Linked DNA regions of Elephas maximus indicus. The protein of the gene in region 3 purifies or fractionates together with the protein of the main gene of each other region. This does not show direct contact. Links are inferred from orthologs where the notes say so. Each region holds a gene or a part of one and is shown on either strand. Other genes may lie near its edges.

Evidence for each region.
Region 1: the proteins of CRKL (region 3) and GAB2 purify together in Homo sapiens (affinity purification with western blotting; 3 studies listed by BioGRID). This does not show direct contact. The link is inferred for Elephas maximus indicus from reciprocal best matches to the Homo sapiens genes CRKL and GAB2.
Region 2: the proteins of CRKL (region 3) and RAPGEF1 purify together in Homo sapiens (affinity purification with western blotting; 16 studies listed by BioGRID and IntAct, with this or other methods). This does not show direct contact. The link is inferred for Elephas maximus indicus from reciprocal best matches to the Homo sapiens genes CRKL and RAPGEF1.
Region 4: the proteins of CRKL (region 3) and GAB1 purify together in Homo sapiens (affinity purification with western blotting; 3 studies listed by BioGRID and IntAct, with this or other methods). This does not show direct contact. The link is inferred for Elephas maximus indicus from reciprocal best matches to the Homo sapiens genes CRKL and GAB1.

What each region holds. Positions count from the first base shown.
Region 1 is NC_064825.1:43,711,009-43,718,631, reverse strand, and holds the start of GAB2 (GRB2-associated-binding protein 2), read right to left. Parts: upstream 3,009-7,623; 5' UTR 2,899-3,008; coding exon 2,824-2,898; intron 1-2,823. UniProt on the Homo sapiens protein: Adapter protein which acts downstream of several membrane receptors including cytokine, antigen, hormone, cell matrix and growth factor receptors to regulate multiple signaling pathways.
Region 2 is NC_064827.1:82,641,628-82,648,997, reverse strand, and holds the start of RAPGEF1 (rap guanine nucleotide exchange factor 1), read left to right. Parts: upstream 1-4,358; 5' UTR 4,359-4,488; coding exon 4,489-4,549; intron 4,550-7,370. UniProt on the Homo sapiens protein: Guanine nucleotide-releasing protein that binds to SH3 domain of CRK and GRB2/ASH. Transduces signals from CRK to activate RAS. Involved in cell branching and adhesion mediated by BCAR1-CRK-RAPGEF1 signaling and activation of RAP1.
Region 3 is NC_064840.1:21,415,767-21,422,819, reverse strand, and holds the start of CRKL (crk-like protein), read right to left. Parts: upstream 3,011-7,053; 5' UTR 2,480-3,010; coding exon 2,169-2,479; intron 1-2,168. UniProt on the Homo sapiens protein: May mediate the transduction of intracellular signals.
Region 4 is NC_064831.1:41,427,845-41,434,741, forward strand, and holds the start of GAB1 (GRB2-associated-binding protein 1), read right to left. Parts: upstream 3,011-6,897; 5' UTR 3,000-3,010; coding exon 2,928-2,999; intron 1-2,927. UniProt on the Homo sapiens protein: Adapter protein that plays a role in intracellular signaling cascades triggered by activated receptor-type kinases. Plays a role in FGFR1 signaling. Probably involved in signaling by the epidermal growth factor receptor (EGFR) and the insulin receptor (INSR).

The DNA.
Region 1 (7,623 bases), on a different chromosome or scaffold from region 3:
CTACTCTGACACACACGCAGCTGCAGTAAGTCGGGGTCGACGCGACAGCAGCTGGTTTTATACACACAGATACAGATACATACATACTAGAGAAGGGCCTTTAAGTTTACAAGGTCTGAAGGAGGGGTGTTCGGTTGCTCCTGTCAACCTCTCACTGCAACAACGTCATGACACCCCAGAGGGCAATACTCACCATTTTCCAGAGGTCATTATTTGCAATTCCTCTGGGCACACAGAAAATACTGGATAGACCTTTAATACTTTCACATGATTAATAAAACAGAAAATGTCAATGGGGACAATCCCTAATCTCCAATAACACTTGCCAAAGCTTCTCCCAAGTTGTTTTTTCCTCCTACACTTACCACCATCTGAAATTAACCCAAAAAGGTAGGTTTTTAAAAAGTTTTAAATAGTTGTAATCTATTTTCCAAACTGCTATCTTGGATGACAATGGGTTTGGTTTCTTTCTTTGCTTGTTTTGGTTTGGCAATGAAGCTGAGAAATAACTCATTCCAACTTTGCTTCTAACCAACTTGGACCTACAATGAACAGAGAACCAGCAGAGTTCTAACTTACAACAGGGTGCAGAAATTCTCAACACCAAGGAAAAGTACATGTAAAGGTAGACTATTCCTCAGGAGTTTAGGGTTATACAGAACGACACAGACTCAACCAGGGAACTGAACTTTCACAGCAGGAAAGGCTTCCAGCCATACCAATGGAGCACATGATACCCTAGTCTAAGAAAAGCTGTTGCTGGTTTGGTCAGTTGCCTTGCGGGCTAGAGCTGCAAGGAAGATTAGAAATAGACTAAGATCGTTATTATGACTTCAAGGTGTCAACTAGTTCCAACATGTGAAAAAGGTCCTGACCCAAAAGCCTCCAAACTTGATTATTTTGAACTAAATTTTTGCCCAGCAACAAAAATACCCAAGAAATGGGTCATAGAGAGTCTGGGTAATAGGGCTGAAGTAGTCACCAGTCCAATGTAGATACAGTGTTAAATTGTTTGCAAAATGTTTCAAAAAGAAAATTTCAAGGTTCTTTAGGGTAGTATTCTACTTTGACAATTAAGGGTCACATTTTTATTGACACTCTACTAGCTGGTATGAAATCACTTCAATTGATAATTTTTGGAAGCTTTTCGGAGCCAGAGATTTCGTTTTTTCGATATTTATAAAAATGTTAATTACAAATTCCTCCTTAACCCTAATATAAAACTCAACTTCCCTGATGAACTGATAAAACCCTGATGTGGAAAAAATTTCCTTCTTAGCAATTATAATGCTGAGGCTACACGGGTACCCTGGAAAATGCACTTTAAAACTGAGTCAAACACTTCATCCCCTAATTCCTACTGTATTTTTAAATCTACGTCCGCTTTGAAAAGTCATGTGCGAGTCCTTAGATTTTCCCCAGCAAATGATCTAAGAGCCCGATTTCATTTTCTCACACACACACACAGACACTCTCTTGCACTCCCCAACAACAACACTTCCTTTGAAAAACAGAATGTCACTTCCTCAGTCCAGAGGCCAAAAGTCCCTTGGTTCTGATCTGGGGAGCCAAGACAGGAAACTCTGGTAAGCTTCTGCCTCTCCCCCCATGGACAGCCACTGGTGCAGCTGACAGAGGGCAGGGTCTATTCAGAGCTCCCTTGATGCACTGCAGCTGGAAGGCAGCAGCTCACTTCCAGGCTGTGGGAGTGATCCCAGAGAGTCAAGCACCAGGAATCAGTCTAGCAAGGGCATTTCATAAGAAGTGAAGGGGGACAAGATGGGAGACCTTGAGACCCTTTAGCGACCTTCCTCCCGGGATCCTTCCTCCTGAGATTACCCCAGGGCCGATTTCGGGCAAATCTCTGTGACTGGCATCGTCTTGTACTTTGACCTCTACAGGAACATACATCCTCTGGTGGGAGAAAAAAAAAAAAAAGCCAGAACTCCTCACCGCTCAGCACCAGACTGTACTACCTCCTCCTTGATGTTGCTAGTTCCTCACCTAGAGGGGAGCGGCTGTCCCAGCAATTTCAGTAAACAATGTCGGTTAGCACCACCTGGCAACTGAGAATCTTATCTCTTCCGACCCCAGACACCAAGGGCTGCACAACACAAAACCTGGGCCAGTTAGAGGAGACCAAACTGCAATGTCACCATGGGGGGGGGGTGTATGTGAGAGACATGCAGAATAAAGAGAAAGAAGGGGGGACAAACAAATGAGTCACTTAATACAAGGGCTGCACATGCCGCTGACGCTGCCCATGATGCAGACAGAGGCTGTGGACTGGAAGGAAGCAGGCGGCTACCCGGGAGGGCGGGCAGAGAAAGGGAAGAGGGAGAGGGTGTCAGGCGCCTCGTCCTTTGTGGGGGCTGGACCACGCGGCCCCACAGCTTGCGCCCCCCTCTTCCGCCCACTCCTCCAACCCCACATGCAAAACCCACTCAGGGTTACTATGCTCCCCCAGCCCAGGGAATCAACTCTCTCGGTCTCCAAAAACAATCAATACAAACTTCAATACTGTATTTAGTTTACAGGCAGGCTGGCTGGGGAGGTGCCGCCGACGCGCCCGCCAAGCGGAGGAGCCGCAGCCTCAACCTGCTGCCCCGCCCGCCCCGCCCCTCGGAGGCGCACCTGTGACAGGTGTGCAGGTGCCCCACACATCCCCCGGGCGCGGGGCGCACCAGCCGCTTCTCCACCCCAAAGGCGCGCCCCGCCCCTCGTCGGCGCGGCCCCTCGGCCAGCCCCCAGCCCCTTCAAGGGCGGTGGGGCGCCCCCAGCCCGCGCCCTGGGCGGCCGCGCCCGCTCGCCGTCCGCACTCACATAGCGCCTCAACTTCTTCTCGGGGGGCGATTTCCTCAGCCAGCCAGTGCACACCACGTCGCCGCCGCCGCTCATGCTGCCGGCCGACTGGAGCCCGCGGCCGGGTCGGGGGACGAGGGCGCGGGCGCGGGTCGCTGGGTCGGCCGGCCGGCGGTGCGCAGCTCGCGGGGGAGGGGACGGGCCGGGGCCGCCGGCGGCCGCGGGGCGAGGACGAGGCGGCGCGGCGCGAGCCCGGCTGCCTCGCTCGCGCGCGCCCGCTCTGGCTCGCGCGCCCGCGCCCAGCGCACTCGGGCCCGGCCGCGGAGGGGGCGCCCCAGCAGGAAGCGGCGGCGCGCGCTCGCCACGCCCACAGCCCGCCGCGCCCCCCGGCGGGCCGCCTTCAAAGACGCAAACACTGCCTGGCCGCCCGGGAGGCCCGAGGTCGCTGCGGACGCCGCAAGCTGTCGCCGGCCGCGCCCCCGAGGTCTTGCTTTTTTTCCCTGAAGCTTCAAGCAGCAAGCCCGGGAGGGCTGGGGGAGGTGGCCGCGCCCCTGGGGGGAGGGTGAGTGGTAGGGGGCTGCGAGACTTCGACTGAGGATCGATTTTTCACAGAGGGTCGACCTGGCTGGGACCCGAGTCCTGTTAGCGTTACCTATCCTTTCCCAGAGCTTCAGGTTTCAGCGGGTCAGGTTCCGGCTGGAATTAGTCTGCCGCTTTTTCCCATCAAGAGTTTCATTAACTCTCGCACCCCCTTGGCGGGAGAAGGAAAGAAGGAAGCAGATCTTCTGTGTTCTGGGCGCTTTTACATTCACTGTTCACATGATTGTCTTAGCAAACTAAAAGTTGGGCGGGGAAGATTATTCCCATTTTACAGACAGCCTAAGGTCCCAGAGCTGGTACCTGGCAGAGCCAGATTCCTAATTCCAGGGCTGTGAGAGGGAAGGCGGAATCCTGCTCATCTGCTTTCAAGTGGGAAGAGGGCTTTGATGTCTGCGTATCAGCTTGGGAGCCTCTTACTGTCAGGAAACAAAGTCCAGCTGGCTCCTACACTGCCTCTGGAAGAACAGAATTCAGTAGAAGAAAACTTGTATGATTTGCAGAATCAAGGAAACAAAAATGCATCATGCTTGGTAGAAGGTTAGAGAAAAAGAGGAAGACCCTCAAGAAGATTGACACAGTGGCTGCAACAATGGGCTCAAACATAGCAGGGACTGTGAAAATGGGGAAGGACAGAGCAATGTAGTCTCATTGTGTTGTGCATGGGGTCCCTATGAGTCAGGAGCCACTGACGGCACCTATTACCAACAACATTCCAAGGTGAATTGGAAAGCATGGTGTCACAGAGGAAAGTATAAAAAATTAGGGTCAAAATTCTCCAGAGTTCTAACTCATTCAAATGCACTATGAGACCTTTGGAAGGGTGAGAGGGGGCTCATATGTAAATTGTATAATGGCACTTCTCTTGCAGAATCGTAGTGAGGTTTAACTGAGATAAAGTACGCGGAACACATACTTGACAACACCAGCCCTTCGCGGGGGAGGCTGGAGGGAAAAAAATACCTTAGGTAGGAACTCTTCAATTTGCAAGGTACCTTTACAAGCAGCATTAAGACGTAGCTCCAACCCTAAGTTCTCTGAGAAGTGGATACCAAGCCAGTTGCCCAGTGGACTCTGACTCATGGCAACCTCCCTGCGTGTCAGGGTAGAACCGTACTCAGTAGGGTTTTAATGGCTGATTTTTGGAAGTAAATCACCAGGCCTGTCTCTTTTTGGTACCTCTGGGTGGATTTGAACCTCAGACCTGGAACCACTGGGTTACCGCTCATTGTTTTAACTGTTTGCACCACCCAGAGGCTCTGAGAAATGAATACAAAAACAAAACAAAAATCCCAAACCTGTTGCTGTCAAGTCAATTCCGACACATAGTGATCCTATATCTACCCTATAGGACAAAACAGAACTGCCTGATAAAGTTTCCAAGGAGCAGCTGGTGGATTCCAGTTGCCAACCTTTTGGTTAGCAGCCAAGTTCTTAACCATGCACCACCACGGCTCTGAGAAGTGAATAGTAACCCATTTTATCAATGGGGAACTGTGCTATGGACAGGTGAGTTAAAGAAGCAGCATTTCACATTGCCCTGTGCAACCTGTGGCTAGGGTTATTTTGTTCACTTTGCTGTCTTCATGCAGTTAATCTACTTATTTCAAGCAGTTGAATATCCATCTGGGTTCACAAATCTTTGCTGGGTTGGATGTTCACCCACTTCAATCAGTGTGTCAGAACTTATTCCCTGCACAATGTGCTTAGCCCTTCTAGGCACCTTGGGAGATTTAAAGATCTGTTCTCCGGGACCCAACATTTCATGGACTTCTTCGCTGCCCAGTATGCTGCTGGACAGAATTTAAAGCCAGGACATTCATGCTATAGATGAAACCAGAGCTCCCTTGGCCTTTCGGTTCAGAGATCCTTCAGCCACATGAGGGCCACCATGAGACTTATGGCCATTTTAACCTCTGGGTTTAAAAGTACACTGAAATCCTGTAAGATGTAAATATAAAAATACTCAAAGTCTGCCAAATCAATCAGTAGGCAGTGACTCCCAACTGAAATAAAACAATCTTTCTGACTTCATTCACATCTGAGTTATGATGCCACGTCTCAGGGATTGCAAAGAGTCTGAGAAAACTGCATGGTTTGGCTGCAGCTGAGATTTGTGATGCAAGTCAGGCATACAGATGCCTTATCTTTCCCTAGAACACTAATCTTCTATTATATATCCTTTGATAGTTACATGATTCAAGATACAGACTGGGCATCTGTACAGCAATGGTTAGCTGAGGTTAGGTAGCATTTTGCCAGAAACTCGTTAGAGTCTTTTGTTTACCAAAAGGCCCCATATTGTTATTTACAATTCTATGTGCAAATAGAAAAGTTGGGTGTTTCAGAGCCAATGACAGAAGAGGCCTTAAAACACAGCAGTCACAGAGTGTAGGCTTCAGGAAGTTTTCTTTGTAACACCTCCCTCCTTCCCCAAAGGTCGGAGAAAGAGGCTCTTCTGTGTGCTCTCTCGCTCCCCACTCCCACCCACATCTCTCTTCATTGACTGCCAGTGACTAGCACAGAACCCCAGCACGGTCTGCACACAGGAGACCCGACTGCAGCTGAGGTTCCCTGGCTGCACTCCGGTATGGCTCAGTCTTCGGAGCCTGAGATGCGTGCCAGGCCTGGAAACAGCCCTCGGACAGAACGTTCCTGTCTGGGCCTTTACTAAGTCCTCTCCACCCCCTGCTTTTTTTTTTTTTTTTAATGCTGTCTGGTTTTTGCTGCGGAGAAATGGAAAACAAATTATTTGAGTGATTTATTTACATGAAGGCAGGCGCCACCTACCGGAACCACATGGGACGATATCTGCCTGCCCCCCACCTAGCCCCCTGCCCTGCGTGGATATGCATCGCTGGCCTATAATTTAGGCAATTTCGATTACAGACCTTGGGGTGTTTCCTGGGGGAATTAATGACCGGCTCCAAGGAGCTCTTTGGGCCATTAATTTTATATTCTCATTAAATCTCCAGGAAATGACCATCCTATTGTGGGCAGGGTCGTGGGGAGGGACATTGCAGAGGTTAGAGAAATTCACACCTGGGAGGAAAGCGTAAGTACCACGTTTTGTTGCTTCCCGCCCCTCCTCCCACCACAGCCTGGGTTTTAAAGGGTGCACTGTGGCTTTGAGTGTTGTCAGCGACAGCCTGCATCCGTGCCTGTCTGGGAGTTGAGGGTTTGTGGCCAGCGGCAGGTGCATGGCTGGTGGAACGCTCCCAGAGCCGGGTTGGAAGGGCTGGGAGGAGAGCTGTCCTCAACTGCACACCAGGCTGGGGTGATTAATACCACCCACGCCAAGCCTGACGTCAGGGATAGGACAGGGGGTGGGGATGGATAGCTGTGTCCTAGCCCTTCTGCCTTTTCTCCCCTTCGATTTAGTAAAAAAAAAAGACAGGTTAATTTCAGAGCTGAGTGCTGCTTGCAAGATCAGTGTGACCAGCTGAGCCACCTCAACAGAGGACTTGCAGGACACTTGTCTCGCAGTCTTGTTGCAATATGTATCTTTTTAACCCCACTTGGCTTTGGGCCCACTTGGTTCCCTCCATCAAATTACCCTCTGACTTAGGTCAACTCTTGGCATCTGGTTGGGGCTGAGATCTATCTGGTGGTAAGCTTGGGGTGTATTTGAACCTACTTGGGTTTCCTCCCTGTCTGTGGCTGCTCACAGTCTGAAGTTACTTGATTCTACACCCAGTGGGAGATATTTTGGAAATAAACTCTAAGAGAAAAGTTTGAGCAAGCCCAGTTTCCAAGTTTCTCCCTTGTAAAGAATCAGAGTCTGTACTAATTGCTCTGTGGCAGCTAGGCTCCCGGGACATTTCCACTGCCACTGGTGAAGGTTTGTGTTGCACAGATCCTGGTGCAAATCAGTTGCACCCAGAGACAACTCCTACCTTAGATTGCATCTTGAATACATTAAGTCCCCTGTCCCTAAAACACACCATCCCTAACTAACCCATGACTGTGGAGTTGGCTCTGACTCATAGCGACCCTACAGCACAGAGTAGAACTGCACATGGGGTATGCAAGGCTGTGTGCTGAGTCTTTTTCCCCTTGAGGAGTGGCTGGTGGGTTCCAGCTACCTGACCTTTCAGTTAGCAGCTGAGCTCTTAACCACTCGAGCTCTTAACCACTTTGCCACCAGGGCTCCTCTCACCATCCCTACTCCCCAGCATATTCATTCTTTTCTTTGTATTCACACTGGACCTAATAAATCAGGTT
Region 2 (7,370 bases), on a different chromosome or scaffold from region 3:
GAGCAGAGGGGGGAGGCGGGTGAGGGGAAGAAAGGCACTTCTCCATTACGAAGTCCCAGGGGGGAAAGGGTTATTTTGATCCCGAGCGATAGGTTAGAGGCTTGCACTTAACTTTCACAGATCTAGTGCTGCTTCCCCTGGCTCTGGAGGCTTGTGCAGGCTCCCTGCCACTCGGTTTCTCCCCCTACCCCCTCAGTGCTGGTTTCTCCCAGCATGGTAAAATGCATCCCAAGCGCTACTGCTTGCCTCAGCCCACCTGCACCAAATGATCCAGCCTGCAAGGTGCCAGCTAGGTCAAGTCTGGCACTTCTTCTCTTCTTCTGAACTGTCTCTGTCTCTCCTGGCCACTCAGTCCAAGTCCTCAACTTTGTCTTTGATGTTTAGGGCTCCTAGATTGTCATATGTAATCAATTCACTTGTTTTTTCAGGTCTTTGTTGTAAGAGGGGCCACACGAAGCATCTGACTATTACACCATCTCGCCCCGCCTCCCTCAGGAATGTTCAGGATATAGTTCTTCCATCAGGACAGCCTCCTCTCTCTGGCATCTCAGCCTCTGCTCTGCTAGGGCAAGTGTTACAAAGCTCTTTTAGCTTTGCCAATAAGTGCTCCAAGGTACCCCACTCTGCTAGTAAGCTGCAGCCCAGAGGTGCTCAGCTCTAGCTCCATGGGTTGGCACACCTAGCTCCACCAGTGCCCAGAGGCACCCCATCCCTCCAACAAGCCTCTTGCCCAAAGGTACTCAGCTTTCTTGCTCTGTGGGCTGAGCTGTTTCTTGCTGGTCTCCTGCTGCTGTTTCTCTGCTACTGTTTCTTGCTGTCTTCTGTGTTACAGCTCTCTATCTCTCTCTCTCTCAGTTTCCTGGTTCTGAGAGATTCTCAACACAGGTATCCTGGGTTCAAAGGATGCTCACTACTCCTGGCTCTTCTTTCTTGGTGGTAATGAGATCCTCTCTTTCCCACCTCTGGGATGGCTCATCTTAAGCCTAAAGGGATGGCAAAACTGATCAGTCCTCTTGGTGGGCTACAATTACCTTATTTGCACAGTCCTGCCAAATCACTTGGGTGGGAGTTACAAGACCATGGCAAGAAAGGCCATGCAAAAGTGATCCATTGCACAGCAGGCTGGTACATGCAAACTAGATCCAACAACCCAAGCTGAAGTGAGCCCCGGTACCATCAGCATCACTTTGGCTGCTTCTTCCCCTAACCTCACTGGATTCCTGTTGTTCCAATAGCCAAATGTTGTATGCAAAATGCCTAGAAGAGGGTGTGACTCCTTTGGGAAGGCCTTATCTAGTACATGCTCTTGGAGCAGACTCCTGGCCACCTCGCCGTAGTGGTCATCTGGAATGTTCTTCTGGAATGTTGGGAAAAGGCCCAACAACAGCCATTCAAGTATGGCTTGAGCTCCTTCTCTGTGCTGGATTTGGCGATGCAGAAGTACACGAGCCAGGCACATTCCCTGCCTGCTCACAGTCCCCTGGAAGGGGCAGACATTAAACCAATAACTGTACGAGGAATCAGTGAACTATCTGGAGGCATGTACTTGGAAGGAGTACACCTTCTCAGCAGTCTGAGGTGGCGGAGATGGACATCTGTGGTTTTGCCTCATCAGCATCTCTTCCTCTGATGCTGCTTTGAGCAACCACCCTTTCCCACCCCCAGGCTGCTGATTCTGTGGCCCCCTCTCCAAACTGGAAATTCGCACAATCCATAGGCTGGCCAATCTATGCATTTTGCCCCCTTGTCTGCAGTAACTGGCTCAGCAAAAGGCATGTGACTCAAACTAGGCTAACGAACATCCGCCATGAGATTTGTTTTGGAATTATGGTGAAAGGGACACTCTTTTTCCATTGGGGTTGTAAAGCTGGTAGGTGACAAGCCTGGGGCAAATAGAACCCAGTCTTGTGGGAGAACAGTTTTGAATAAAGGCAACACAGAGATACAATATTGTTGTTTAAGAGCTTGAATTTAGCTGTGTTTGGACCTGGCTGTATCCCTGGTTTGGTAGCTACGATATTCAACAAATTTCCTTTCTTGCTCTGAGCTAGGTCTCTGACAGTGAAATTAAATGTCTCGACCATTAGAGGGCTGTCCCCACTGTGGGAGTCAAGGATGAATTCCTGGAAGAAGTAACCGCTGAACCAAAGAGCAAAAGATGACTAGGAATCATCCAGGTGAAAAAGAGGAGAAAGAACGTTCTAGACAGAAGGAGTAGCATGTGAGAAGGCCCCCAGGTGGGAAGAACATGACTTCAGGAATTTGTTTGCTTCATTACCCTGTATGTGTTCTACTGTAGATATAAATTAAAAACCAGTTGCTGTTCGGTCGCCCCCTACTCATGGGCACCCCGTGTGTGTCAGAGGAGAACTGTGCGCCATAGGGCTTTTAATGGCTGATTTTTTGGAAGTTGGTTGCCAAGTCTTTCTTCCAATCTGCCTCTGGGCGGATTCGAACCTCTAACCTCCAACTTTTCGGTTAGCAGCTGAACACATTATCTGTTTGTACCACCCAGGGACTGCATAGATATAAAGATCTTTGATGAATAGCCTTTTTAAAATAAACTCCACAACCCTTACTTACAATAATGTCCATTTGTAAAGTGCCTTCATGTTTGCAAATCCTTTGTTACTTGATATGTCATGATTTATTAAATATATTTGGTTTTGCTCTCATGAATCCCTGCCTGAACCCAATATTCATTCAGTCTAATTTTCTACTTCTCACTCAGAATTTCAGATATAAAATACTGGCCCCTTTCAGTTCACAAGCCTAGAAGAATTGGGAGCCTAGAAGTCTAATGAGTGGCAAGGAGGTGGGCACAGGGCCGGGGGCCAGTTGTGCCTGGCTGTGCATCTGCCAAGAGAGCTGAGCACTGCCACTCTGGCTCAGAGCAGCCATTCATCAGCTCAAAAAGTGAAAGGAGTTCCTCAATCTTTGGCTTAACCTTTAACCCCATAGAGGGCTGGAGCTGACAACTCTGGAAAATTGGCTGCCATCTACAGCTGTCTCTGAGTGACAAGATCAGTGGCCCATCGGAGGGTGAGGGGAGATGCAATCTGGAATCTCTTGCTATATCAACCACCTTTCCTTTCTCCCTGTACTTCCCCCAAATCCTGTCCCTATCACCAGCTTATTTAACTGTTAATTCACCTATTTTGAGGGAAACAGGAGGGAAAATTGGTTTAGTTGGTTTTATGTTACTTCTTTTGAACATTCCTTGTATTGTTAAAATTTATTGTTACTTGCGTTATATGATTTAACTTTGACTCCCCAGCTAAATTATGGGATCTTCAGAGGGAAGAATCAACCATGTGCATTTTTTAGGACCCACAGCACCTAATTCAGTGCCTAGCCCTAGTACTCATTGATTCTTAAATGAATGACTTAAATTTTTTTTTATTGTAGTGTAAATATACATAACAAAACGCCCACCATCTCAACAATTTCTACGTGTACAATTCAGTAACATTGATTACGTTCTTCAAGTTAAGCATCCATTCTTGCTATTCTTTCAAAATCATTCCATCACCATTAAATGAATGACTTTTAATGAACTCATCACCATCCAAAAAAAGCCCATGGCTGACAGGTGAGCATGGCAGGAAAGGATTGCTGGCTGCCTGATGGGGTTGGGCTCAGGCCTTGGCAGGAAGGCTGGGTTGCAGGGGACACCAAGCCCCCGGTGGAGTCAGGCCCAGACCTGGCTAGGTGGATTCTGCTGTCAGGGGGTGCGGAGTATCAGGCAGGGGGAGGGTTAGACCAGGCTCAGGAGACACAGTGTTGAGTTCTGGGTGGGGTCCAGCCTAGGCCCAGGTAGGTGACTCTGGCTGGCAGGGGGCACTGAGTACAGGCTGGAGGGATGAGTCCCAGGCTTCGGCATGGACTCCAGCCAGCAGGGGGTGCTGTATCCTGGGTAGGGGGAAAGTACCCGGCTTTGGCACGAGACTTCAAACTGGTAAAGAGTGCTGTCATGGTTTGAGGGGGGTCAGGGGACAGGGAGCACCGAGCCCCGGGTGGCGTCAGGCGTCAGGCGTAGGCCCAGCCTGGTGACTCCAGCTGGCAGGGGGCGCTGAGTCTCTCTGTGGGGTCAATCCCGGGACTTGTCATAGAGACTCCAGGCCGGCAGGGGGCACTGTGTCCCGAATGGGAGTGTCAGGCCAGGCTCCGGGCCGGCGGGAGCCCGGCAGGTGGCGCTGTGGCCGCGGCCGAGGCCCGGCGGGCGGGCGGCGGCGCGGCGCTGCGGCCGGGCTCGCGGGCCCGGGGTAGCGGCGGCGGCGGCAGGAGCGGAGGAGGCGGAGCGGCGGCTGGCGGCGGGAGCGGCGGCGGCGGCGACCCCGGGCGGGCTGGAGCGCCGGTCGCCGAGCGCACAGGCCGCGGCCCGCGGAGCCCGCCATGCCGGCGCGGGCCTGAGGCGCGGCGAGCCAGGGCCGAGGCGAGCGGCGGCTGCGCCGGCCTGTCGCCCCGCAGCGGCCCGGCTCGGGCCCGATGAGCGGCGGCCTCGGCCTCCGGCGCAGCCCGGAAATGTCTGGCAAGATCGAGAAAGCAGGTGAGGCGGCGCGGGGACCGGCTGACTTCGTCCGGCGCCGCGGGCCGCTGGGGGCCGAGGCGGGCGCGAGCTGCCTGCGGCCCGCGTGGGCCCTGCCGCACTGCCGCTGCGCCCTCGCCGGGAAGGGGTTCGGATTCGTGCCGGGATGCGAGCACCCCTCTTCTTGCCCGGGGAGCAGAAGTGAAACTGCCGCCGAGGCCTAATTGGGGCGCTTTCCAACTTCACATTCAAAGGCCGCTTTCAGCCGGTGGGCTGGTTGCTCTCCGTCCTCTCTCCCGTGGGCTCGGCCGGCTGCAGGAGCGGTGGCCGGAGGGCGGACGCAACGGGCGAGACTTTTGGGGGTGGCATTTCGGAGGGCGGTGGAGGTGGGGGCCCCCTCCCTCAGCAGCCGGGGGTCTCCTTTGTGGGTGCTGCCTTGGTCTCTTAAGCAACTTTCAGAAAAATGGCCTGAACCTGGGGAAGGGGAAGAGAAACCCCGGCCGCGTGTCTTCGGCGGCTCTGAAGCGCTGTGCCGGCCTCGGGGCTTGTTTGTCTTTCCGAAGGCGAAGAGTGGAGCTATAAAATGTGTCATTGCTAATGAGCCTCGGGTTTAAATTTAACTTAAAGTATCCACTTCGGTTGCTTCAAAGGAAGCAGTTAAGGTGTGTTTGGGTATTTTTCCGGGCTCAGTCAAGTTTTCCTCTGTTATCAAGCTTCAGTCTGGAAGCAGGGCATGTGGGGAGCAGGTTGGCTTTGAGCAGCTTATAAATCTTGATGCAAGCCTCATCTCTTTGTGTGTGCCTAGAAATCTTGTGAGTTGCCTTCTGATTACCTGGTTTTGGCCTATACTAGGAATAGACTCTCTGAAGATTCAATTACCGTTGTGCATATGGGGCCCAGGGCTTAATTAGTTGCGACACCTCATGTAGTGAATTCTCGGGTCCAAGGTGAAGTAGATGAATGGTCCAAGACTCTTGTACTAAAAACAAGTCTGGTTGTCATAATTAGGATACCAGGTTAGCTTCATAGCTAAAATGTGGAAGGCAGGGAGGGTTTTAGGAAGCCGTAAAGGAGCCCTGATGGCTAAGTGGTTAAGAGTTTGGCTCCTAACCAGAAGGTCTGCAGTTCTAATCCAGCAGCCTCTCCTTGGAAATCCTTCGGGGCAGTTCTACTCTGTTGTTTAAGGTCACTATGAGTCAGAATTGACTCGATGGCAATGAGTTTGGTTTTTGGTTTAAAGGCGGTAGGTAGCATTGATTTTGGAAGTTCGCTTGTGTATTTCCTGGGTTGAACTGGAATACTTCTCTGGGGTGCATCTCTTGAGTGGACCCAGAAGACAGTGTAATTTTGCAGTCTGTAGTTGAAGCACAAGAAGGGAAGTAACCTTTATTGAGGGCTTGCTACGTATCTGGCTCCCTGTCAAGCACTTTAAACATATTCTTTAATGGAGCCTTGCAGATCCTCTGTGAGAGAGAATACGGTCCCTGTTGTACAGGCTCAGAGAGGTTCAATGAGTTGCTGGGGGTCATCTAGCAAGAGGGCAGCAGGGTGGGCATTTATGCCTGGTCCTCAGATTGGAAGGTTGGGTGTCTTCTGCACGGGGGTGGTCAGTTTCAGGTGTGATTTCCTGCATATTTTTGTCACTGTTTTTCAGCCTCAGGGCCTTGCCCAGTGACCATAAGTCACTTCCCTGCACACGTGCTGTTCCAGAAATATCTTGAGTTAATCTTTGAAGCATTTTTTAGGAACGTCTTGTATAGTATCTCATCGGAATGGTATTATCAGGAAGCTTGGATGATTTAATTTTAAAATAACATTAACTGAATTTTCTTTGATTGTATGAGTATACCTGGAAATCATGGAAAAGTAAAAAGAGCTAAATGAAAAGCACTTCCAGTCCCGTGAATTGCTTTCCATGGCTCAGACCTGTCTGGATGAGCTGACTTCCTTTGAGTTCTCTAAGACCCAGAGAAAGGACTAAAGTCAGTTTACATTAGCATAAGTTATCTCTGGGCCTTCTCTGGACACTGCACTCTGCCAGGTGCTGTGCTGGATGCAAAAACCAGTAAGTCAGGAAAGCTTGTCTGAGGGCTGGAGAGCTGGACCTGGGGTAACGCGTGGGCTACTTGGTATTATACCTGTGCTGTAGCAGGAGTCAGCTCCAGTGGGCACCAGGTAAGGAAGGGGCCTTATCAGTTGAAGGAATTAGGAAGCTTCTTGAGGGGATGGTATTTGTGCTAGGCTCTGAAGAGAGAGCAAGGTTTCCCTGGGTGGAGGTGGATATAGGAAGAGAGCTGAGTGAAAGGGGTTGACCAGGGGCTGCAGAAAGCACGGGTGGAAGATGGGTTTGGTGGGAGCTGGCAAGCAAGAAAGTTCTCAGTGGTTGGGAAGACCAGGGTGGTATCTCAGCTGGCTTTGGAATTACAGATGTGGAGCTAACCAGAAGTCCAGATGATGTCTTTTATTGCATAAGGTTTTCTACTATGACCCATATGCTTTGGAACACTTCTGTAATGAAGGGTTGCCCTTCCTGGTGGTTTTTACTGGTCATTACAGTGGTGGACAGTTCGAATCCGCCAGGCAGTCCTTGGAAACTCTATGGGGCAGTTCTACTCTGTCCTATAGGGTCGCTATGAGTCGGAATTGACTCGATGGTAGTGGGTTTGGTTTTTTTTTTTTTTCAATAGGTGAACTTCACTTTGCTTTTGTAAGAGGTTACCTGTTAAATTTATGTTGGAATTTTCTAAATAGACCTAATGCTAAGTTATCCAAAGGAAAGGTCTTTAGGTGAAACGGTGACTTCTCCTAGCAAGTGAATAATGTCTGGTAAATTTCAGAGCGG
Region 3 (7,053 bases):
AACATGCCAAACCAACTCTCAAATGGCAAATCTAACATGTCAAACTTCAAGCTTGGGAGAGGGAATTCAAAGATTCAGCGTAACAAAGTAAATCTAATCAGGACCCAATTCAAGGTGCATTGTGACTGCCTGAGATAACAGGGAAAATGAACACCTAAATTACAGCAACAGGCTGGGAGTGGCAGCACAGAGAGAAACAAAGCTGAACTGTGAGAGGGAGGGCCTGGCTCTGCAGGGTCAGGAAAAGGTCCACTATTTGTGAGGGGGCTAGAACAACAGGTAAGATTTCAATAGGGAAGTGTGGGGCGGAGGCAGGCATTCAATGAAGATCCAGCAGCCCAGGCAAAGGCATAAAGGTTTGAATTGGGATGACAACCAGGGGACAATGGAGCAGACTAGTGGGGCTATGCTAAAGGAAAGATGAGAGGGGCTGTGCAAGCAAAGGAGACAGAAAGACACATCTGGTATTTGGGAAGACACATCTATGGAAAACCTGGCCTCAATTTTGTGGGAGTGGGAGTCATTGAAGCATACTCTTTTTTCCCTCTAGAAGGGGATTGTCCCATTCGCTCCCATTTTTTGAAACATCTACATGATAGTACCCGTAACCTCAATGTACGAACAAGACCTTGCACATACCAAGGCTGAATAAATGCCTGAAATTAATTACATCATTCACCTTCACAAATTAGGAAAGTTAATTTACTTATATTACAATCTCATTACAGTGGGTTCCAAGATTCTGTCTAACCCCTTATATTAGAATTACATTGTACTCAAAGTTTACCGGTTTCCACCAGTTAGATTCTTGGTGTCCTGGTCTTTGTTTAACAGTATTTGAGTATTAATCACATTCTCCTGGTCCATTTTGTCCAGCAGTTAATCTTAAGGCACTATACTGTCACGGCTTTGTTTTGTGTGTCTCTATCCCACAGAACCAAAAATTTGGTTCCGTTAGTGCTCCGTAATTTATTTTAATAGCTTTCAGTGTTTAAAGTTTATAAATAAAATGTTATCTACCTATGAAAAGTCAGAAACATCTAAACCTGAAAAATCTACTCCAATACCTTATCCTTTTAAAATACATATTTAACAAACAAATCAGGTAGTGAAACACCTTTTAGTTAAAAAAATTTTACACAATTTCTTCAACTCATATTTAGCATTCTTTTAGCAAAAGAAACTTCACAGTATCAGGAAACCGGATAAAATACTTATTACGGCAAACTAAAGCAAATGGTCAAGTAAGACAATGCATTTTACTTGGAAAAGAGGATGTTTGATGCTCAGTGTCACTGTGGGTTCTTAACCTAAAAGCAGATATTAAAATCACTAGACTTAAAATAGAAATTACATTTGAAATTGAACTAGGATAGAATTAAGACAAGTGCCATTCAAAAATCTCCCTTAGTAAACATGCTAGCCTTATTCCACCTCGGGACTTAACCAAATGGATCTCTAACCTATTAATAGTCCAGCTTGAAGAAAACGGAAAACACATTTTCAAAAAAGAAAAGGCCCTCGCTGAGGCCAAAGTATCTTTTATTTATTTATTTGGTAATTTATAGTACTGTAAAATAAAAGATGTCTGGCCCATGTCAAACTTAGCGCCGGGTTATCAATATACAATTTTGATACTTCAGCTTAAGGTCTTTGTTTCTAAACGCTAAAGCGTATTCATTTCTCAACCGTTCAAAGGTTGCAGTTCAGGGGTTCTTAACCGGGAGCTCAGAGATCCGCAAGGAGCCCAAGAACCTCGAACGGTGTGCATACGTGTGTACGTGCATTTTGGGGGAGAGGGGAGGATACTATGGCTATCTTCAGATTTTCAAAAAAGTCTGTGGTCCAGAAAGAGGTTAAAAAAACAAAAACAAACAAAACCCTGTTTTCGTGTGATTGCCAAATAGACAAAGTGACAAAAGGCAAAAGGCGTACATTTTTAACTATGCAACCACCGTTAAACATATTTAAAACGCATGCTCTCATCCACAGTGACCCAGATCCTCACACAGACCTTCTGTTTGGAATACGTTCTGGAAAATAATTTGGTTCCGAATGGGGGACAGGAGTTCCAACCACCATCCCCCACACTCCTCGGCCCCAAGCGAACCAGCCTGTCCATTCTCCCACCTCGTCCGCGGGCGGGGCGGGGCGGGGCGGGATCGTACCTGGGCGCGGGCTCGATGAGGGTGGTGGTGTCCAGGTAGTGGATCTTGTAGAACTCCAGCAGGGCGGGCAAGTGGTCAAACTCCTGGTCCCCGATCTTAAAGCGGCGGTTGGGCAGCGAGTTGATGATGTAGTGGGAGACCCGCGAGTTCTCGGACACAGACAGCACGTAGTCCCCGGGGCAGGTGGAGGAGTCGCGGACTAGGAACATACCGTGGCGCTGGCCCTGGAGCCGAGTCTGCGCCTCCTGGCGAGACACTGGCCCCATGTACCAGGCGGAGCGATCCGAGGAGTCGAACCTGGCGGAGGACATGGTGTCGGGCCAGGGGCTCTGTGGACGGTCGGGGTGGCGGCTGCTCTGGAAGCCTTTGCCTGGCAGATGGCTTCGGAGCCGAGGAAGGGCCTCCCGGCACACCTCGGGGCGCACTCAGAGGGCTGGGCCGGCACCTGCTTCGCGGCGCCGGGCCCGCAGCATTCTCCGCCGCCGCCCGCCTGCTCCGGGGCCGCCTCACAGAGAAAGCCGGCCCGGGGAACGCGGAGCAGAGCCGGGGGACGGGGCTGGCGAAGGCGAGACCCAGCGGAGGCCGCCCTGCGGGTCTCGGGCAGACCGGCGTACCGGGAGTGCCTCCAGTGACTCCCAGCCTGGAACGCGCCGCCGCCGCCCCCACACAGCTGCGCACCGACCCCAGCCGCCACGCGAAACACCGGACTGCAATGAGCGTCGCCCCTCCAGGGCAGTTTTGCCCAGTCCGTTCCCAAGAGCCACAGCAACAAAATGGCGGACGCGGGAGAAGCGGCCGGCCACCTCCCCCTCCGCTCAGCACGCTCCGTCTGCGCACGCGCAGCGCTCTGACTCCCAGCTGCCGCCGGGGCCCTCCCGGTGACAATGCGCGGCGCAGCCAATCAGGAGCGCAGCTCGGAGCCGGGGCGTGCACCTCCCGAGCCCGCTCCCGCCTTCCGGGAGGAGGGGAAGGCGGCGGCGGGCACTCCCTTCCTGGGCCGCGGAGCGCCGCAGGGGGCGCTGCTGTCGCCCGGTCGACCTGCCCTCCTCGCTGGCAGGAAAACAGCTGGAGCCGTGGGGGAGCGGCATTTCGAAAACCTGCTTCTGGGGAACAAAGAGTAAAGTGCGGAAGCTATGCGGAGAAATAGGCCGAATCTTCAGCCGGGGAGGCGTGGCGCTGAGGCGACCTGGCCGGCCGAGGGACCCGAGGGGCCCCGCACTGAGGGAGACCGACAGGCGGACAGGTCCCGATGGGTCGCGGTGACTCAGGAACGCGGTGGGCCGGCCGGCTGAGGTGACCCTGGGACTGAGATGTCACCAGATAGGTGAAAAGGTGGCCCAGGCCCGAGGTGTTAGTTGAGTTACCGTACGGGCACCAAGGTGGGTGTGAAGGTTGGATTGACAGGATCAAGTGGTCTGGGAAGCCTGGAGGGCGTCTGGCCATCACTCGGTGAACTGCTGCAAGTACAACGCCAACGCCTTGGGATTCGGCCTGCTTCTCCGACTTCATCTCCGACCGTTCCCCTTCTCTTACCCAGCTCCAGCCGTGCCCTCTTAACCTATTTCCACCCCCGCTAGCATGTGTATTTTAAGAGAGCAGATATCTTGGCTGTCTTGTTCACCCTTGGCCTAGAGTTGATGCTCAGATATTTGTTGACAGAATTGAGAAAGACCACCAAGCTCCTGGTGCCCGATTATTGGTAGCATCACCCCTGGAACTGGGCAGGCAAGAGTGGGAGAAGCAGGCAGCACAAGCCCATACCTAGATCCCTGTGCCAATGGAATTTTACTTGGCTGTTTGCACCCCCAGGTTAAACATATCCTAGACTGTAGGGTGACGAGTGGAGTCCGTCCTAGGGTAAGGAGAATGTCAAGGTCTAATGCCTTCAGTGACTCAGCATAAGTAAATTTTCATCTTCCCCCAAATGCGCTTGCATGTTGTATTAGTCTGAGGTACAATTTGAATAGCACAGAATTTGAAGCTGAATGCTTGGGTTCAAATCCTGGCTCAGTCACTTGACTAGCTGGGTAGCTTGGGCAAGTTACTTGATCATTTTGTGCCTCAATTTGATCTATAAAATAGGGATAATAATAGCACTTACCTCCTAGGTAAAAGTAAGTATGAAGGAATGCAAGTTAATACATGTAAAGTGCTTAGAATAGTGTCTGGCACATGTTAAGCATTATGTAAGAGTTTTCCATTATTATTATTCAGCCTCTGCCTGGGCCTCTCCCTCTATAGGCTAAAAGCATGTGCAGATCTCTAAATGGGTGAGTGAAGGCTGGGAGAAAAACCTCCATATGATTTTCTGTTTACTTTTCACTGCCAGATTTTACCATTCATCATCACCCACTCCTTGTCCAGCCTTCCTGATCTAGTTTCTACCTGTACTTTGACCGAAACTGGGCTCTTCAAGGAGATTACTGATCTCCAGTGAAACCATTATTCTTCTGGATCTCCCTGGCCACATGTGTTTATATTGGAAATGTCTTTCTGGAAAGACTTCTTTTTTTGGCTCCTGGAACAGTAACATAGTTTTCTTCCTACCTCTCCAAATATACTTTTTCAGTCTCTTTCTATAGCACTTTTGTCTCCAGCTCCTGAGTGTAGAAGCTCAGTCCGTAATCTGCCTCTACAGTGCCTCCTTTGATAGACTACTCGTCCTGAAGGCATTAGGGGTCACCTCCCTGTTGATAACTCCAAAACACATATATTCTAAAAGTAAAACAGAAAGTGGCCACACCCTATGATTACTATGCAAACACAGTAATCACAGCCTAATACAATTCTTATCACATTGTATTGTAAATGTTTACACGTATCAGTCCCGTCCTAATCTGTGAGCATTTTGGAGGCTGACTATAGCAGTATTTTTTATATTCCCAGTGCCTAGCACAGTGCCCCACACATAATACATACTTAATAATTTTTTTTAATATATATGATGAAGTAAAGAAGCCAGAGAAAAGCAAAAATTTATTTCAGTGACGATAAGGAGATTCTATGATTGTTTTCTGTTATTAACATAATAAATTTATTTAAAATACATAGTTTGGCTCCATATCTCCCTCTGTGTTTAATCTTTCATTTGGATTGAACTCTGCCTTTCAACTTCCCCTTTTATGGCAATAACACCACTGTTTTCCTAATTTCCAGGCTTAAAATTGGAGTCCTCTTTTACTTAACTGAAGAACTCAATAGTGATACCTAATTTTGCTTTTCAGTTCACAAAACTTCATATTGTATTACTTAATCCAACCAAAGTCCTATGAAGTACGCATTTACAGACGATCCAGAGGCCCAGAGAGGCTAAGTGACTTGCTTCAAGTTTCATAATTTGCAAGAGGCAGAGCTGCCATTCTTATTTATTTTTGGCGGCCATGTATACAACCAAATACATCCATTTAAAATTTCTACATGAACACTTCAATGACATTGGTTGCATGACATTTGTCACCATTCTTACTATCTCTACCCATATTTCATCATAATTAATTTAGGCTGTCTGCCCCTTGAAGTTCTCATCTGTGCTTTAGATTAACGGTTGTCAGTTTAAACTCACACAGATAATTCTTTAGAAGAATCAATGCTCAAGGCAAACATTCTTTAGTAATTGGGCTAAGCTGTTAGTTTAACAGTGACTTAATGGGATAGTTTCAGTGCAAGATTTAAAGATTATTTCTGGGCATTAGATTTGGGTGTTCCAGTCTCAATGGATCCAGTAAGTCTGGTTTCCATATGAATTTGAAGTTCTGTTCCCTGCTTTTCCTCCACTTGATCAGGATCCATCTGTTGGATGATCAAAACATCTTGTAATGGTAGTCAGGCATCATCCATTTCTTCTGGTCTCTGTTAATGGAGGTAGTAGTTTATGGAGGCAATTAAGCCTGTAGACTATTTCCTTCACCGATTCCCGGGTCTTTTTCTTCCTCTGCTGGTCCAGAACAATAGAGATCAGTTGTATCTTGGGTGGCTTTGTGCAAGCTTTTAAGACCCCAGGGGCTGCTCATCAAACGAGGTAGAAAAAAACTCTAAAAACAACGTTAAACCAATTGACTGGATAGACCCATGAAGTCATGACTTTGAACCAAAAAAACTAATCAATGAAGTATTTAATTGTATCTAAGTATTATAGTATCAACAGGTGCAGCTTTTTTTTTTTTTAATCTTTTGGCTGTTGTAAAATTACGTACAATGCTTTTTTGCCATTTGACCTTTTTTTATTTTTTAACCTGGCATACAGCTTAAAACGGTAACAGCTACATTAGTCTAGTTGTGTAACCACTACCCTTAGTCAATGCCAATTTTCCCATTGCCATAGACAAAAATTCACTACTTCCCAGTGCATGAGTTCCCCTTTGCCTCCCTGCCTCCGGTAACCACTAGTAATCGTTCCTCTCTATGTAATTACTTATTCTTGTCATTTCATTAAGTGAGATCATACAATATTTGTCCTTTTGTGATTGACTTATTTCACTCAGCATAATGTCTTCAAGGTTTATCCATATTGTAGCATGTGACAAGACTTAAATTTTCTTTGAGGCTTGATAGTATTCCATTGTATGTATGTACCACATTTTGTTTATCCATTTATCTGTTGATGGACACTTGGATTGTTTCCACCTTTTTGCTATTATAAATAATGCTGCAGTGAATATCAGTGTTCATGTCATTTCTTTTAGGTTCCTAGGGTATGTACATAGGAGTGAAATTGCTGAGTCATATGGTAATTCTATTTTTATAATCTTTGAGGAATTGCCATACAGTTTTTCCACAGCAGTTGTACCATTTTACATTTCCAGCACCAGTGGATAAGGGTTCCAGTCTCCCCACATTCTCACCAACATAGAGCCAGTATTCTTAAACCAGGTCTTTTGACTCAAGG
Region 4 (6,897 bases), on a different chromosome or scaffold from region 3:
ATATCTTTTCACAGCAAATCCATTCATTAAAAACCATTATAAAGCAACGTTTTGCCCACTGGGTGGCCAACAATGTTTCCTTTCATCCAGAAAATAAAGATTCTACGTGAAAAGAGAACAGGCATAGGCAATGCATATATACATAATCAACGGCACTGGGTTTGGTTTTTTGGTTTTTGGGTATCATTAATGGTCAAAAGCTGCTTTAGCAAAAACAATCTAAATTGGATAAAAAAAAATTGGATACCTAAGCCAAAAGATCAACAATAATCTGGGAATGGCAACATCTTCTGGGCAACCAATTTCACAGCTAAAAAATGAGACAAGCCTCACTTAAACACTCTGCCTCATCCTCTTAGCTACCTCAGCTGAGAGCCACCCTGCCCACCGTCTTCCTGGGCCATCTTAGCACATTCCACTACTACGTAAAGAAAATACACTAGTGCTCCACTGGGCAAGAAAAAAAAAAACAGCCTTTCCCCAGCTGTTAGGGGTATATTCTTCCCTCCGCTGAGGGAAAACACAAATATGAGTCCACTGTCTCTCTAGTCTTCCCATGGTTCCAGACTACATTGAACTTGTTCCTTGAAACACATCTACAAAGCATCCATACCACTCAACCTGGGCACATAATCATAAACTACTTTGCACTATTGGTTCATTTTTCACATATGCCTGTCTTCCTGAAGACTCGAAAAGCTGCTTCAAGGCAAACTCCAGGTCTGACATTTCTTTTGCACACCACATCTGCTCTACAGCCCACTTCCTCCTGGCATTCTCAACTAATATCCACAGACTCATAGAAAGTTATAATCGGAAAGAACCTTTAGGGATGATTTAGTCCAAGCCCCGTATTTGAAATGAACTAGATGAGCCTCATTAACCTTTTACAGCTCAGTGAGTCAGGTAGACCTGGGTTCAAATCCTGCCTCTGGCATGTTCTGGTTGGATAGATTGTTTTCTCACCTGTGAAACAGAGATAATACCTACCTCATAAAATAAGGGTCAAAAAAGAAAAAAATAAAAATAAAATATATACACACACACATTTGAACCTCCTTTTTTTTGTCCTTGTTAAGACACAATCTTTTTGGTTGATTTTCCTTCTGGTTTATACTACATTACATTGCAAGCCTAAGAGGCAGGACTCCCCCCACCCGCCTATATTTTCTAACCTTATGGTACCTAATAGAGTACTTAGCGTCTTTCGAAAAAGCCATAACTAACATGTGAAAGAATGCATTAAACAAACCTCTATTACCAATACCTAGTTCCCCAAGAACCTAATCACTAGACTACTAGTGGAAAGGTTGGCAGTTGGAACCCACTCAAAGGCACCTAGGAAGATAGGCCTGGCTATCTACTTCCAAAAGGTCACAGCCCTGAAACCCCCGTGGAGCAGTTCTACTCTGCAAGCACAGGGTCATGACGATCAGAATCAACTCTGTGGCAACTAACAACAGCTGCATGTCTTTCCTAAATTGTGTCTTCTCGAAACTAACATACCTCCAGCTCCCTACCCACCCCCCTCTCACACACACCTATCCCTTTAGAACCAAGAGCTGAAAAAACCACTGCCTCTCCCCTTATTTTTGGAATAAAGCTAGTATCTCTACCAGGATATGCAGACAAACAGTTGACAGGTGGAGTGACAGAGTTTGGAAGGATTCAAAATCTCTGGAGAACTTTCTTAGGATTTATGGCATCGATCCCTGAAATGAGAATTACTTGTCTATAACAAATTCTGGCAAAAGTAAACCAGAAACTCACTGGTGAGCTGTCAGTGAAGTTAAATATTGCACTTCAGTCTGTTCCATGAAAGCAAACAGTGACTAATACGATTAACTTCAGCTCTAATACTGGATGGAGATATCCTCCAACAAGAAACAGGTTCCAGTAGCACAAGTGTCAGTCCCAGGTAGAAAATTTATATTTGAGTGAACATAAATACTGCTTTTTAAAATTTTACTAGAAAAAGTATTTGCTCCGTACGCCAGCATAAAAGTGTTCTCTCTTTCCTTTGCAGGAGGCAGCGACAAAAAAAAAAAAAAAAAAAAAAAATGGGGGCGGGGAGATCTCAGACGCCTGAAGAGGACATAGATTTCCACTAAAGTTGGTTCTTTCAAGGAATATTTTTTCCAACAGCATCGTGTATCAATTACACAAATGCCATTTAAGCCACGCTGGTGCCCTGGGAAAGATTGGCAACACACAGAAATTCCTTCTGGCTTCAGCTGTCCCCTCCTGCGGGGCTTGACAGCGCGTTCAAGACGCCCAAACACCAGCCAGCAGGCTCCCCCCAGTGCCTTCCTCTCGCAGCAAACCGCCAGGGCTCTCGGGCCAAACTCCAATGTCCCTCAATTCAAAACCGCGAAAATGTGAACCCTGCTAAGCAAACGGTAGGGCGCGTTAAGAACTTTTTCTTTTTGCGCAGACATGAGATGCTTGTCTCCGATACCAATTTCTTAGCTCCACCGTCCCTTCCCCGAAACCCACCTCCAAGGGAAGTGAAGAAAGAGCGTGGACCAAAGAGGGCTGGCGGCCCCTACGGTTTTCCTAGTGCCACCACCCCCATAATTAGGTGCAGAAAGATAAAAAGAAAGGAGAATGCGCCTCTCCCCGCCTTACCCCACCCCACAACTGCTAGAAGCAATAGTAAAAACATGCAGCGGGAGTTCATCTGGAAACCCTGGGCCCTCCTATGGGGCGGTAAGGCCCGAAATGCAGGCCGTCCGGAATCTGGAGGAAGAAAGTTGCCAGGCGAAGTGAAGTGTAAGCCAGGGCGTGAGTGTACAGCACCCGGTCCCCAGCCTGATGGGAGAAGGGGCCGAGGGTAAAAGAGATGCGGATTAAAAAGCCCCGCGCGCGAGCAGCTGCAGCCGCCAGCCAGCTCGGGACCGGGTGCCGCTGGCAGAGCCTCTACTTACATAACGCTTCAACTTTTTCTCCGGCGGGGACTTGCGGAGCCACCCCGAGCAGACCACTTCGCCACCGCTCATGATGCACACCTCTCCGGCCCTGAGCGGGGCAGCTGAGGGGCGGGCAGGCGCGCTCCCGATACAGCCGACGCCTGCGGGGCGCACAACGGCGAGGTCCTAGCTCTCCTGGCCGCGCACCCTCCGCGGACAGGACAGGCGAGCTCCCAACGCGCGCTCGGCCCGCTCTTGCGCGGGGCTCCCGGCGTCCGAGCGTCTCGCTGGCAGCTCCACAGATGTGAGCAGAAGCGGGATGCTCCGCCGCTGCCGACCGCACTGGGCAGCGGCTGCCGCGGGGCCGAGGGCGCCCCGGCCTCTCCTTAATGCGCCCGCCTCGCCACCAGGCGCGCCGTCCCACCGGCCGCCTCAGCAGCGCTCAGGCTCAACTGGGCCGGCGTCTTCGCGGGACTCTATCCGGACAAGGAGCCAGCGCCTCGGTGCCTTGCGCTCCGCCCCCTCGGGACAGAACCTCCCCAGAGAGCCTTCCGAAACAGACACCGCTGCACGCACACAATGCTCCGCGCGGTGCCTACTCCCGCTCGCCCGCTCTCGGTTTCGGTGAGCCCTGCGCAATCCAGTCCTTCGTCCTCCTCGAGGGAGGGCGGCTCGCTTCTCTGCGGCGCCCGGGAAGCCGGGAGGAAAGGGAAAGCTGAGAGGGTCCCGCGTGCAGCGGGTGCAGGCAAGGTCCCGGGACGCGGAGGGAGCCGCCCAGTCGGCGGCGATGCGCGGCGCGTCGACGAGGTGCGGGCGCGGAGAGGGCGCAGGTCCCGCCAGAGGGTGGGTCCGTTCTCGCCGCCGCCGATGAGGGCGGGGAACGGCGGAGGAATGAGGCGCCCGGCTGCGGGGAGGGATCCCACTGTCCCGTCCCCTCACGCTCCTCCCCCGCCACCTCCCCCACCCTGGGGTGCGCGGCAGGTTCTGAGCGGCCACGGGTCCCGGCCCGATCCCTCCCTCTCTTGGCCTCCGGGCTGCTGTTCCTCCCTTTTCTCCTTCTCCTCCCAGTTCGGGCCCGGCTCCGGTTTCTGCCTAGACTTTCTCTGAAACTCGGCCGGAGCGTTCCAGCCAAAACAACAAGGGCTGGAGGAGGAGGAGGAGGAGAACGAGGGAGGGAGCGAACTAAGGAGGGAGGGAGCCGGAGTCCGAGAGGCACCCTGGGATCTGTAGTTCGGAACGCGAGAGCAGAATCTCGGCCGCCCGGCGATGGTGTCGGTGGGAGCCCCCAGAGTACCCCTCGCCTGGGAAGGCGGCGGAGGCCGGGCGAGGGCAACCCCGGCGGGGCTCGGGCGCGGGGAGGGGCGGGGAACGTTAACATGTTCAGTGCCGGGCTTACCACCTTGAGCTAGCCCGGGTGTCAGTTCCGAGTGCGTACTGTGCTCCAGACCGGGAGTTTCGGGGTTTTCCGTGTTTGACTGTCCACAAAGCCAAAGAGGCCAGACAGAGACCCCGGCGTCGTAGGGAGGCGGCGACTCCGCGGGTTCCCGCCGCGAGAGACCGAAGAGCCGGGTCTAGGACGGCTGCATGGCGTCCTGGGGACCGCCAGGACTGGGGTGGGAGAGTCCCTGGCGGCGCCGCGAAAGTGGTGGGAGCACTTCATGGAGCCAAAGAATTTGAAGTCCTTCGCTCACCCCATTTGTTGTCAGCTTCTTCCACTTGTATTTGGTTAAAATCAACCCCTGCCCGGTATGTTTGGCTAGAAAAGGGAAAATTACTGAATGTTCTGTTCTACTTGCCTGTTTGTGTGTTTTACAATTATTTTACCTGGGCTTGAGTGTAACATGATCCTGTAATGTAATACATTTTCCAATTTATTTACGAAAAATAAAGCCCCAAAACAAATTTTAGAAGGCTGTAGTTGTAATTTTCCGTCAAGTCGATTTGGACTCACGGCAACCCCATGTGTGCAGAGTAAGACTGTGCTCCTTAGAATTTTCAAGGCTGTGACCTTTTCAAACTAGAGAGCTTCTGCTTCTGAGTGGATTCGAACCACCTCTGAGCGGGTTTGAGCTGCCAACCTTTCCTTTAAGGTAATAGTGAAGCCCTGGGTGGTATAGGATAGTAAACAAATAAAAGGTCAACATAAGTACAGATTGTGATAAATGTGCTATGAAGGAAATAAACACAGCAAGGTAAAGAATAACAGGTGGGACTAGGTCTTGAGGAGGTATTTAGCCAGAGATTTGAAAGATGCTCTAAAGAAAGAGGAGAATCAGAATTGGTTTATTGAAGGATAAAAGAGTTAACCATAGAGAGAACTGGAGAAAGAATAAGCAAAGAATTACTTCGTACAACCAAAAAATCCAAACCAGTTGCCGGCGCATTGATTCTGACTTATGTCGACCCCTTCCTTGTGTGACGCAGCAGAACTGTGCTCCATAGAGTTTTCCATGGCTAATTTTTTCAGATGTAGAGGCATGGGGGAGGAGGCACACCAGGTGACACTGTCAGAGGGAATGTCACCAAAATGACTATAAAAAATCTCATTAGTTACAACAACAGAAACATTTTTCATAAGCCCAGCTTACATGTGTTAATATACCTAGGAGGCTAAAACTATGCTAATTTATTTTTTGAACAGTCTAATGCGATCCCATCAGAGCTGTCGTTATTAGCCAATGGCAATGACACTGCAAATCACGCTGGTTTCATCTACACATGCAGCAAGCACACGATATTGTTTTTGTTGCTCCCAGTGTTTTTATAGTCGCCGATTTTGCCAAATTTTCTGGTGTTTTAGCTACAATATTGTGGTAATTAGTGTTTGTGAACCTCTATCAATAACTTTTTTGAGAATGAAGTAGTAATTAAATGAAAAGGAGTCATATATGAGAATTATGATTCATAAGTAACATTAGTACAAAAAACATTACTAAGGCTTCTGTATGATCTGGTACAGGAGGAGCTCCCTGGGGGGTGGGTGATACCTGAGTTACTGCACTGGGTGACACCAGCCCTAGCGACACCGCTGATCACCAGGCTTTTCTTCTCTCGCACCTCTGAATGGACTGGAACCACCAGCCTTTTGGTTTACAGTCACAGCTACACACATTAACTGTTTACACCACCCACGGACTCCTGGTTACATCATAGTCCAAATGGAGCCCCCTGGGCACCTGTAAGTGTGGCAAAGAAAGACTCTGAAGAAAGAGCAGAGAGGCTGCTGAATTGTGCAAGCCCCAGACTCCTAAACTGGGGCACTGATAAATGACACCCCCATTACACAAGCGTAAATGGCTTCATCATTCAGTAACTCTCCATTAAGTTAATATCTCCATTACTGTAACCCGTATCAGAAAAATACTATGAAAATAGAATTAATTTAGCAACCTAGTAAGTAAATTATCGGAAAATAAAGCTGGTATTCTAAACCTATCTTCAGCTTACATAAAGAGCTTAGTATGTAGAAAAAATAAAATCAGAAGAGGTCTGGTTCCATTGAGGTTTAGAGCCCTTCATCTTTTTTTTTTTATATATAATTTTTATTGTGCTTTAAGTGATAGTTTACAAATCAAGTCAGTCTCTCACACAAAAACCCATATACACCTTGCTACCCACTCCAGATTACTCTCCCCCTAATAAGACAGCCCGCTCTCTCCCTCCACTCTCTCTTTTCATGTCCATTTCGCCAGCTTCTAACCCCCTCCACCCTCTCATCTCCCCTCCAGGCAGGAGATGCCAACATAGTCTCAAGTGTCCACCTGATCCAAGAAGCTCACTCCTCACCAGCATCCCTCTCCAACCCATTGTCCAGTCCAATCCATGTCTGAGCCCTTCATCTTTTGACAGGTACTTTGAGTATCACAAGGGCTTGGTTTTTAGATCTGGATTCATTTTTCAGGTCATCGATTTTTCAAATCATGACCTTGAGCAAATTACACGGTGTATCCGAGCTTCAGTTTCCCAATATGTGAAATGGAATAATAAT